Linked DNA regions of Saccharomyces cerevisiae S288C. The protein of the gene in region 2 interacts with the protein of the main gene of each other region in a biochemical or structural test. Each region holds a gene or a part of one and is shown on either strand. Other genes may lie near its edges.

The links.
Region 1: of the proteins of CMK2 (region 2) and VHR2, one has a biochemical effect on the other in vitro, tested with the Saccharomyces cerevisiae proteins (one large-scale study listed by BioGRID).
Region 3: the proteins of CMK2 (region 2) and ERS1 form a complex in vitro, tested with the Saccharomyces cerevisiae proteins (one large-scale study listed by BioGRID).

The regions. Positions count from the first base shown.
Region 1 is NC_001137.3:282,306-286,064, forward strand, and holds VHR2 (Vhr2p), read right to left. Parts: upstream 1,918-3,759; coding exon 400-1,917; downstream 1-399. Other genes in the region: THO1 (Tho1p), read left to right, coding at 1-61; ICL1 (isocitrate lyase 1), read right to left, coding at 2,936-3,759. UniProt on the Saccharomyces cerevisiae protein: Transcription factor that regulates ERG9, but seems to have a more global function in transcription.
Region 2 is NC_001147.6:294,327-298,085, reverse strand, and holds CMK2 (calmodulin-dependent protein kinase CMK2), read left to right. Parts: upstream 1-1,965; coding exon 1,966-3,309; downstream 3,310-3,759. Other genes in the region: IRC10 (Irc10p), read right to left, coding at 1-1,008; ESC8 (Esc8p), read right to left, coding at 3,413-3,759.
Region 3 is NC_001135.5:247,381-250,778, forward strand, and holds ERS1 (cystinosin-like protein ERS1), read right to left. Parts: upstream 1,436-3,398; coding exon 653-1,435; downstream 1-652. Other genes in the region: SOL2 (Sol2p), read left to right, coding at 1-530; EGO2 (Ego2p), read left to right, coding at 1,595-1,822; FUB1 (Fub1p), read right to left, coding at 1,913-2,665; deadenylation-dependent mRNA-decapping factor PAT1, read right to left, coding at 2,858-3,398. UniProt on the Saccharomyces cerevisiae protein: Cystine/H(+) symporter that mediates export of cystine, the oxidized dimer of cysteine, from vacuoles/endodomes.

The DNA.
Region 1 (3,759 bases), on a different chromosome or scaffold from region 2:
AAACAACCGCTCCAGAGTAAGTAAAAACAGGAGAGGCAACCGCTCTGGTTACAGAAGATAAAGGCTCAAGCCGTTTTGGTGGAGTTTTTCATTCTAGTTTCGGTTCTTTCCCACTTTTTAAACGACCGCAGTTGTTTGTATATGAAGGTGCAAAATTTGTTGCATACGTAAACATGTGTAGATTATTCTAAATAAATCTGTGTTATTAAATCCGAAGAGTCGGCGGTTCACTGTATTACACATACAGTGGCTGTCAACGTTGTAAAGTGCTAGTAGAGAATGAGCGGCGAGATTTACAGACTGAACATTCTTGTACAAGTTACAATGATGATAGAGGAAAAATAAGCTATGATAAATAGTTCATAGTAATGCAGGTGGGGATGATGCAAGCGGGCCTATTTATTTTGAAATAGTACTGAATGGTTTGGAAAAGGTGGAATTTTCAATCTGCAACGATATCGCGCTCAACATCTTTAACCTGTCATCATCGTACGTATTTGGGACTTCAATTGAAGGCAATGTAATGATAGTGCTATCTGCCGATGTGCTTGACCTCGTCACTCGAGGCTCTTCTTTACCGGGAGTGCTTGCATCTTTCGTTGAAGAATGTGCACTCAAGACCTCAGATGTGGAGTGTGGCCTCATTGGATTGGACTGTTTATTACTACAAACCAAGGGATATTGATGGAGTGTCATGTGATAGATAATTTCGTTGATTGGTGCCAAAGATGCATCAAACCCATAATCTTTGACAAGAGATCCCAGTATGAGATTCAGCACTCTCACCTGAATTTTTTCTTGTGATAGGTCAGCGAATAGTTGACGTGTAGCGGGCATAAATAGCCTTTGCGATAGAATAGTCAAAAATTCGATTGATGACAGCCGTTCAGTAAGATATTGCTTAGTAGAAGACGGTAAATGTGAAAAGCTGTTTTCTACCACAAGGGAAATGGAAGCCATTAGTGAATTTTTGCCCAGCGTTTCTAGATTAGCAAAAGAATCCAAATTTCTTTCATCCTTAGACATCTCCAAGCACGTCCTTGAGTTATGTATCTTTGACAGGATGAGTTTTCTCAAGTTGTTGGATATTACAACTTTGCTTTGGCACCCTTTTTTTTTCGTTAAATTTGGTCTAATGAACTTATCTCTTTGAATTTGTTCAGGTAGTGGAATAGCATTATTTACAATTTCAACAATTATTGATTTGGCAATAAAGTCGTATTCTTGTTCACTTTCTAGAGGCTGATCTTCTATATCAAACTTTTGTAATTTTTCATCGCCGCCGTGCGCATACGGTGCCGATGGATCACGAAGAAGAGATGCGTTCTTCTTAAGTAAAGAGCGAACTTGAGTTGGTACAGGTGGAAGAGTGCGGCCATTCGGATAAGGTAACAATTTTTGTGATGTTATAGTATTAAGAGAAGGAAGAGCGTGCTCAGCAGGTTCTTCCTTCACGCTGGCTTCTTCGTCAGAGCTTGATGCATTGGAAGCTGAACAAGACCCCATATTACTTGAGCTGGGGGGAGACAAAGGAATTTTTTGAACTTTACCACGGGCTATTTTCTTCTTAGAGTCTAATAATTTTTTCTTGGAACGTTTCCTGTTTCTTCTCACCGATTGAACAGCAGCGGTAACCAACTTTTCAAATTCTGCCGAAAACGTATCAGGGTACTCAAATTCACTCCTTAATATGGTGGCTATTTGTCTTATATTATCATCTTGTTCACTTGCTTTGTGCTGGCTCAAGCCAAATGAGTCAATGAGTTCTAGTCTTCTGCTAGAAAACTTCTTCCATTTCTTTTCATCATTAAAGTTTAACTGAGCTCTGATTTTATGTGTAGTACCATAGCCCGTATACTTTCCTGTTTTATGGCTACCTTCCAAATGAATTTTGGAGTTCTCAGTATCGTCAATCATCTTGCAATTTTTACTCTGACTGTTGCTGTTTTTTTTGCTGAGATATTTTCCGGTTAAGATGTTTGAATATGCTAAAGGTAATATACAGCTAGAGAAATATGAAAAGCAAGAATATAAAAATAGAACAGGAGCACTTAGTTCGGTTTTTTGCCATCATGTTTAATATATATATATATATATATATATATATATATATATGTGCGTGCGTGTGTGTGTGTGTGTGTGTGTACATGTATGCGGCAGCTAAAAGATGACGAGTACCTTCTAACGGCCATGTTATTTTCTACAGAAAGCATCTCACTTTGAGCGCCCAGAAAAAAGAAAAGGGAGAACAAAGTGATTAATTTTGCCTCTCGATTACATTATGAGGTGGCACTATTTGTCACATTTTATGTTTTTCATCCCGCACTTGGCTTTCATGAGAAAAGCATGTAGGACGCTTGAGTTTGGCATGCGAGAGAAGAGGCGTGTCAGAAAAAAAAACGCCTTTTGCTCTTGAGAAGAGCGGCAAAAATTGCCGAACAGGTGGAATTTCTCGACCAAAGGTGGGGTAAATATCGGTTACCCGTTTGCGAGTTCCTTTACAGTCTCAATGATTTCCAAGATGACTAAGGGAATATTTTCCATGGTGCCTTTTGCCTCGCGTACACTCACGGCACTAATGGGCGATACGATACTATGATTGTGTTCGGGATTAGTTCGATTCAATCATTCGCGCACGAGGCATGGACAGAAATGGCACTGATTTTAGTCACCGAGTCAACAAAAATGAGGCGACTCGATCAAAGATGTTTATTGACTCGTTTTTGCAACTAGAGAAAGGCATTCTTGCACGGAGAGAATGTTGACTTTAGTTGGAGTACCATTAGAGAGATGCCATTAGAGAACATTGTACTGCAGTAACGATGAGTTTAAGTTTTTAAGTACGCATGTTTATATATGAAAAAAATATACATTGAGATTACGAATATATATACTTGTCAGGAAATGCCGGCAGTTCTAATGGTTAATCCTTGTCCTATTTCTTTACGCCATTTTCTTTGAATTGATCTTCTGTGACACCGGTTCCCATAGCAGCTGTTGCGCTAACACCACCTTGAGCTAACTTCAATAACCCATCGATGTACTCCGCACCAGACCATTTTTGATGTTTCAACACATCAACACCATCGTCCATTTCCCTCTGCTGAACATTCTGGGCATAAGCTTTCATCCCATCCTTGGCAAAGTCACGAGAGAAGTTATGGACAGCTAAAGCGTTAGTGTGTAAACCGGCCAATGTGATAAATTGCCAGATGTAACCTAGATCACCCAGCCTTTGGATGAAGGTGTGTTGTTCATCAACGGACATGGCTTTTGGCCAGTTAAAGGATGGAGACAAGTTGTAAGCTAGCCATTGGTCAGGGAATTTCTCTTTAACACCTTCTGCAAACTCCTTGGCCTGTTGGAAGTCTGGGTAGTTAGATTCCATCCATACCAAATCAGCATATGGAGCAAATGCACGGGCCCTCATGATAGAACATTGCGTCCCACCTCTGTAACGGTACAACCCTTCCCTTACGCGTGGTAGCTCCCAGTCGAAGAAAATTTCGTGGCCAAGAATTTCTTTAGCGAGCTTCTTGGCTTCTCTGTGGGATGTTTCAGTCAATGGACCCACTTTAGAGGTGAATTTCTTAATCAATTCTTGCTTATTTGACAGGGCTGATCTTTCAATTTCATCAATGACGGCTTCATGGAATAACTTGAGTCCAGCGTCTCTACACCATTTTTGTTCAATGTCAGCTAGTTCTTGTCCTGATGCACCACTCATGATGGCATCATTTAAAACTTCGGCAAATGGCT
Region 2 (3,759 bases):
TAAAGTAAGTTCTTGAAGGGTAGGATTGTTGCTTTCATTAATTTTTTCTAAAGAAAAATTACTTCTCAACAAATATTCAGTTTTTGCTGACGTTGTAAGTGGGAATTCGACGGAGAATGTTTTATCATCGCAAACGTTCTCACTTGTGCATGAACTTTTTGTTGTTTTTGATGTAGTGGCGTTCTTTCCCTTTTTATTCAATATCTTTTTCGATATATAGTGTAAATTTTTGGTGTCACTGTCTAGAGAAAGGAAAGTCTTTCTTGGTGTCTTTTCCCAATTTACAGATACTCTATAATTTACTGTCGTAACCGCAAAAGAATCCACTGAATCTAATTTTGACCATCTTATTGTTCGTTTGAAGGAAAAGCATAAAAATTTGCCGGTAAATTTTCCAATTTTCATACCGTCACCATGAAAAACTGCTCTTTTATCGTCAATAAAAACATTTGGAACATTAACGTTAGTTCTCAAATACAGAATTGCCTCGCCGGTTTTTTCATCCTTTACGCTCTTATATATGAGATCGTGGAAATGCTTGACAAACAAATTATTTAAATTTGCATGAGGTTCTGCAAATAGCAACATGTTGTTTTTAATCCTTCCAAGAACTTTTTTCATTAGTGCAAAATAGGGAGTGAAGACAGCATGGAAAGCGCTTTTTAACGTTTCATTCGTAAAGTTCAAACTGTTCACGGAACATTTTCCAGGCCAGTGGAATCGTACCCAATAAACAGTTGGACATAGAACTAGGACTGGCATACACTCTTCCATTTGGAGAATGGATATTAGTATAATGTAAATATAATTGATTTCATCTGGATGTCTCTCAAAGTCAGCAACGCTGATTCGTTGGATGTATTTGTTTGAACCTGCCAACAGCCTGAAGTACTCTAATTTTTGTTTGTATGTAGCGAAATTAGTAAATTTAGCCAATCTTAGCATGCCTCTAGAAAATGATATATTGATGCTTTCGAAGCCTGGTAATCTAGAGTATTCAATGAACATGATTGAAAAAGCACTAGGCCAGGTGATTATACCGCAGACTTACGGTAATATAAGGGCAAGAGAACTAAAAAAATCAATAATGTAGGCTTATATTACAGTTCTTTGTGAGATATTCCTTTCTAGAGCGTTTTCTGTGTCCACTCAATTAATATATACACTTCCCGTATCCTAACATTTACTGACACAATGATAGGCACAACGCGCGAAGGAGCGGTGGGGCTTTGAACAATAAGGACCCTTACATAGAAAAGGCGTTAGAACAACAATATGGTTAGGCCATAGAAACCTCGGTGTCTTTTAGGAACTTCACAGAATAGAACATACTGCAGTAGATATAAATACACCACTGGGGCAATGCAGCCTGGTTTTTTCCAAATATACAAAACACTTCATGATACTTACTAATGGTCGTTGATACAGTACTCATTGTATCATTGCAGGAGAGTTAGGTTGGCTTTTTTGCATTTATTTATTTATTCATTTACTCAATTGACAGGCAATGTCAATGATTTTTTGGAAGAAATTTGCCTAATGTTTTTACTCAGTTACTCACCGCTCCCTGGATAACATAAGGTTCATTTGCTTCCGTACTGATTTTTTTTGGCAGTCTATAAGCCACTATGTACTTCCCAATGCTCCTGCAGGCATATTCTTTTTCAATTTTCATGTTTTTACTTCCAGTCGTTGAGCATCATATGGATTCTATGTTGATGAGGCTTTTCAGAACGTGCTGTACTTTCGGAGAAGCGCCCGCTTTAACGCAGCGCGAAGAGAATAATTGAGGCTTATCTTAGAACCCTGCCCCCTTTGAAGCCACCCATTGCTGTTTCTCTTGGTAATCCTAATAATATAAAACAATACGATATTGTTCAAGATCAGCAGAACTTCAATTCGTTGATCAATCTTTTCGTCACCTTTTCTTCTATCACATCGCCAATATAAATATAGACACCAAAAATGCCCAAGGAGTCAGAGGTCATAAATTCTGAATTTCATGTAGATGTCCAAGATCCAGAGCGTCTAAACGGCCACCCTGTAGCAAAATTTATCAATAAATTAAGCGGTCAACCTGAATCTTACGTCAACAGGACTAATTATATTTTCGGTCGAACACTGGGTGCCGGTTCCTTCGGTGTTGTGAGACAAGCCAGAAAGTTGTCCACAAATGAAGATGTTGCTATAAAGATCTTATTGAAGAAGGCATTGCAGGGAAACAATGTGCAATTACAGATGCTGTACGAAGAGCTGTCCATTCTTCAAAAATTGAGTCATCCGAACATTGTGTCATTCAAGGATTGGTTTGAATCGAAGGATAAGTTCTATATTGTCACTCAGCTGGCAACAGGAGGTGAATTATTTGATAGAATTCTGTCTAGAGGGAAGTTCACAGAAGTGGATGCTGTTGAAATCATAGTTCAGATTCTTGGTGCCGTGGAGTATATGCATTCCAAGAATGTTGTTCATAGGGATTTGAAACCTGAGAACGTTTTGTATGTTGATAAGTCAGAAAATTCGCCTCTGGTAATTGCGGACTTCGGTATAGCTAAACAATTGAAGGGGGAGGAGGATTTGATATACAAAGCAGCCGGATCGTTGGGTTATGTGGCACCAGAAGTCCTCACACAAGATGGACATGGTAAGCCTTGTGATATATGGTCCATTGGTGTGATCACATATACTTTACTGTGCGGTTATTCTCCTTTTATTGCCGAAAGCGTTGAAGGATTCATGGAGGAATGTACAGCTTCGAGATACCCGGTAACCTTCCATATGCCATATTGGGATAACATATCTATTGATGTTAAGCGTTTCATCTTGAAGGCATTGAGATTGAATCCAGCTGACAGACCAACTGCTACGGAATTGCTGGACGATCCATGGATTACTTCAAAGAGAGTTGAAACTAGTAATATTTTACCAGACGTTAAGAAAGGGTTTTCTTTGCGTAAGAAATTACGTGACGCTATTGAAATTGTGAAGCTTAATAATAGAATTAAGAGGTTAAGAAATATGTATTCATTAGGGGACGATGGCGATAACGATATAGAAGAGAATTCCCTCAATGAAAGTCTTCTGGACGGCGTCACACATTCGTTGGATGATTTACGTCTGCAATCTCAGAAGAAAGGGGGAGAACTAACAGAAGAGCAAATGAAATTGAAGTCTGCATTAACAAAGGATGCCTTTGTTCAAATTGTCAAAGCTGCAACAAAGAATAAACATAAAGTTTTGGCTGGTGAAGAGGAAGACGATAGCAAGAAAACACTGCATGATGATCGGGAGTCGAAGTCAGAAGACTAAATTACGGACTTGAATTCGTGTACATAAATTCGTATATAATATTTAATGTGTAAAGCTAGTGACGATTTTATGTAACCAGCAGCTACACTTCATGGCATTCAAACTATAGACCTTTTCTGGCATTACGCCTCAAGCTTCTTTTTTCCCGAGAATTATCTTGTAGTTGCCTAACGGGTTCTGAGAAGATCTCTATATCATCACAATTCCTATCACAATCTTTAGCGCCATTGTGTAATTCTCTTTTCCCAAAAGATTTATCTGTCCTATCTTCACCTTTTCTTGTCAATGTATTCTCCTCACTCAGATATTCTGAATCATAGTCATCGCTAACGTCAATGTCAACTTCATTTTCACTTTCCTCGGAAACGTCACCATTTACATCACTCGAGTAATGCACCGTGGTTCTTCTCTGAGAGCTTGTTCGCAAATGACGTCCTTCAGTACTGCCTG
Region 3 (3,398 bases), on a different chromosome or scaffold from region 2:
GGAAGATTTTGGACCTGATAGACACGGCGAAGTATGGAACTCCGAAGGTGTACCACATTGACGAGTCATTGATTGACGACCCGCAAGAATGCGCTGATAACTATGAAAAGGTGCTAATCCGCGGGTTTGCCGGTAGAGATTCCGTCAAACTTCCGATGTTCGACTTGTTCCTGCTTGGTTGTGCCCCCGATGGTCATATCGCATCACTCTTCCCTAACTTCCAGGACAATCTACGTGAGAAACTTGCATGGGTGGTGCCCGTGGAGAACGCTCCTAGTGGGCCCTCGACCAGAATTTCGCTGACTATACCTGTAATCTGCCATTCTCACAGGGTTACTTTCGTTGTCGAAGGTGCAACCAAGGCGCCCATCATCAAGACCATTATGGAAAGGCCTGAAAAGGGCCTACCTAGCAGTATTGTCAACGAAGGTGCTGCTGGTCGTGTATCATGGTTTGTTGACGACGATGCTCTTACGGACGTCCTCGTCACCAAAAAAAAGTATAAATTCCACCAAGGTTTGTCTATTTAAACCATGCATGTGTGTACATACATACATACACACATACATACATACATACATATATTTATGTATATTTATGTATATATATATATATATATATATGCGTAATTATGCAGATTTCTCCTTGTGTGCTACAGCGGGTACTCTGACGCCAGATCATGGCCTCGAGATCGATATACAAACCACTGCATGATAAAGATGAAGTTGAATATTAAAGTTACCATTGACAGTCCCACTTTTCCAAAATTTGTCACGAACGTATCCAGACTGAAACCTTGATCGTTAGACAACTGCCAAATCAATTGGAGCAGCGAGGCGATACCGCCAGTGACATCTAGAAACACACCCTGAATGGGGAAACAATCCATAGATTTTCTTGTCGAGTTATGCGTCACTTGTGGGATGTACTTGATTAGTGACATCGATATTTTGAGTAAAAACAAATTGTTGCAATACGCCAGAGTTCTTGAGTTATGCCAATCGTACCAGTAGTTGGAGTACATAAATTGTACGGTTAGCAGTGAAAAAATGGCCAGTGATGCGAGTAAAATCCTTAGGTACCATGGATTCATCTTGCGGTGACCTTTACCTGGAAATCGCCAGATTCTCGCTCCAGCTACCACCTGGGTCAATAAGACAACATTCATCAAGCACCCATGCAGGCAATACCAGAAATCAAATTGCGTCAACTTGGGCCTGCCCAAGTCAGACTCATCACCCGTCATTTTCCAGCAGTACAATTGCAAAAATATGGATATGACCAGGTAAGAGTAACCTGCCGTATTTAACATGACAAAATCCATCGATATCGCGCTCGCTGACTTATGGCGCCAATTGGTGATTATCGGTGGATACATCGATATCGACCATGACGTAACATACACGATACCTAGTATATCGTCTAACGACACCATTTTGCTTCGCGTTTGCTTTTGTTTGCTTTTAGTTTTTCTTCCCTTGTTTACATATGGAAACTCACCTTAAAATTTCAAGATTATCAAAAAATATAAAGGATTCCGCTATTAAAGGGCAATACCACAACCTCAAACCAAATCACCTAAACCAAATCAAAGATGGAAGCGGAAAAACAATCTGATATTAAGGGAACCATTGCTTTCGATACTCACGGTAACGTTATAGAGTCTACCGGCGTGGGCAGTCAAAGGATCGAAGATATCGGTGATTTATCGAAAGTTACGCTGGATGCAGAAGGTTTTGCTCAAGTTCAAGGAGATTCGCTACTCGTACACCTGTACAAACGCAATGATATCACTTTAGCTGTATATACCAGCGCTCAATAAATTCTTTCCTTCCCTTTCGACATAGCTATGTCTGTATACTATCTAAAAACTAAATATCACAATAAACAAAGTACTAAAATAAACACCCATTTAAATAAAGCCAGATCCTGACCCTCCAAATCCGCCGGATCCTGAACCTCCAAATCCGCCAGATCCAGGACCAAATGGTTCGTCGTACTTGGATCCAGGCATCCATCCTGGCGGCATATCTTCCCGTCTTGGGGCAGGTCTTCTATTTGGATCGAAAATCATACCGCCTTGGCTACTTGGATTCCCCAGAGGATTGGGAAGCCCTCCAGACCAATCCGGATGGCTTGTGCCAACAGGATACAGATCACCATCCGCATACCCTCCTGCTGGGTTAGCGAAGCTCGGTTCAGTTACCGTAAGTCCGGGATATGGGTTCAACGGTGCTGTTCCCTGGTTTTGTCTTGCTTGTGCCTGGTACTCATCGTCAAATTTTGGCATGTCCGCACTACCTGCAGTTTGTCTTTTAAGTTGTGTCATTATAGGTTTCAGGTCTGGCTCCACAGGTAAGCTTTCTCTTTCTAGTGGCCATTTCAATTCTGTGGGCAATTTAAAATCGCTGTAACCCACCACACATGCCATGGTGATCGACGTACCATGACGAATAACAACAGTATACTTGTCATTGTCATCCAGAGTCTGAATCACCACTAGCTCAGAGAGAAACGATGTTGAACCCTTCTCACTGGGAGAATCTTTAATGCGAAAACTCACTTGGCATGATTTGGTTCCCTCTGTATGGCGTGACACCACCTCAGTTTTACCGATGGACTCCAACACTAGTTCTGCTACCAGTTCAACCTTATTCTCAATCATTGTTTAACTCTTGCGTTACTATGGTGGTATTATTGATGCTAATACGGGTTTTTTATGAAAAAAAAAGGATAACAAACTTATATAAACTTATATAAAAACATATACAATAAATGATCTACAAAGGGTAGGAAATAAAAAATAAGGGAGAAAAAAAAATACATGCGTAAGTACATTAAAATTACAGGAAAAATCTTACTTTAGTTCTGATATTTCACCATCGCGATACACCAACCCCATAACGTTTAGGAACAAATTCAAATCTTGGTATAGTTTCTCTTTATTATAAATAATAGATTTTAACTCTGTGTCTAATTCTTGAGACCTCTGAGGTAATACACTCAATTCTTTCTCTTTCTTTTGTAAGGTCTCCGCCTCGTTAATAGTGGCAAAGATTTCATCACGTACTTCATCAATAATGATTCTCTGGTGGTTTAGCTTTCCACTTAGTGCTAAACTAGCTAGGAACTGCCAAATGTATGCTTCATCCATAAACTTGTCATTTTGTAAACGCATGATGTGGTCGTTATATTCCCTTGGAGGGAAAATCAGCTGAATCTTACTTTCCAATGAAGTGAATAATTTATCATAAATCTCATTCCATGTGGAGATTTCAGGAGAGGAAAGAATATTAGATCTTGATGAATCTTGCTTGATTAATGCGGCACGAGAAATCAAAATGGTGATCAAATTTAGACCAATTTTGGAGGTGGTCAAGAACGAAACGTTGTTGTTT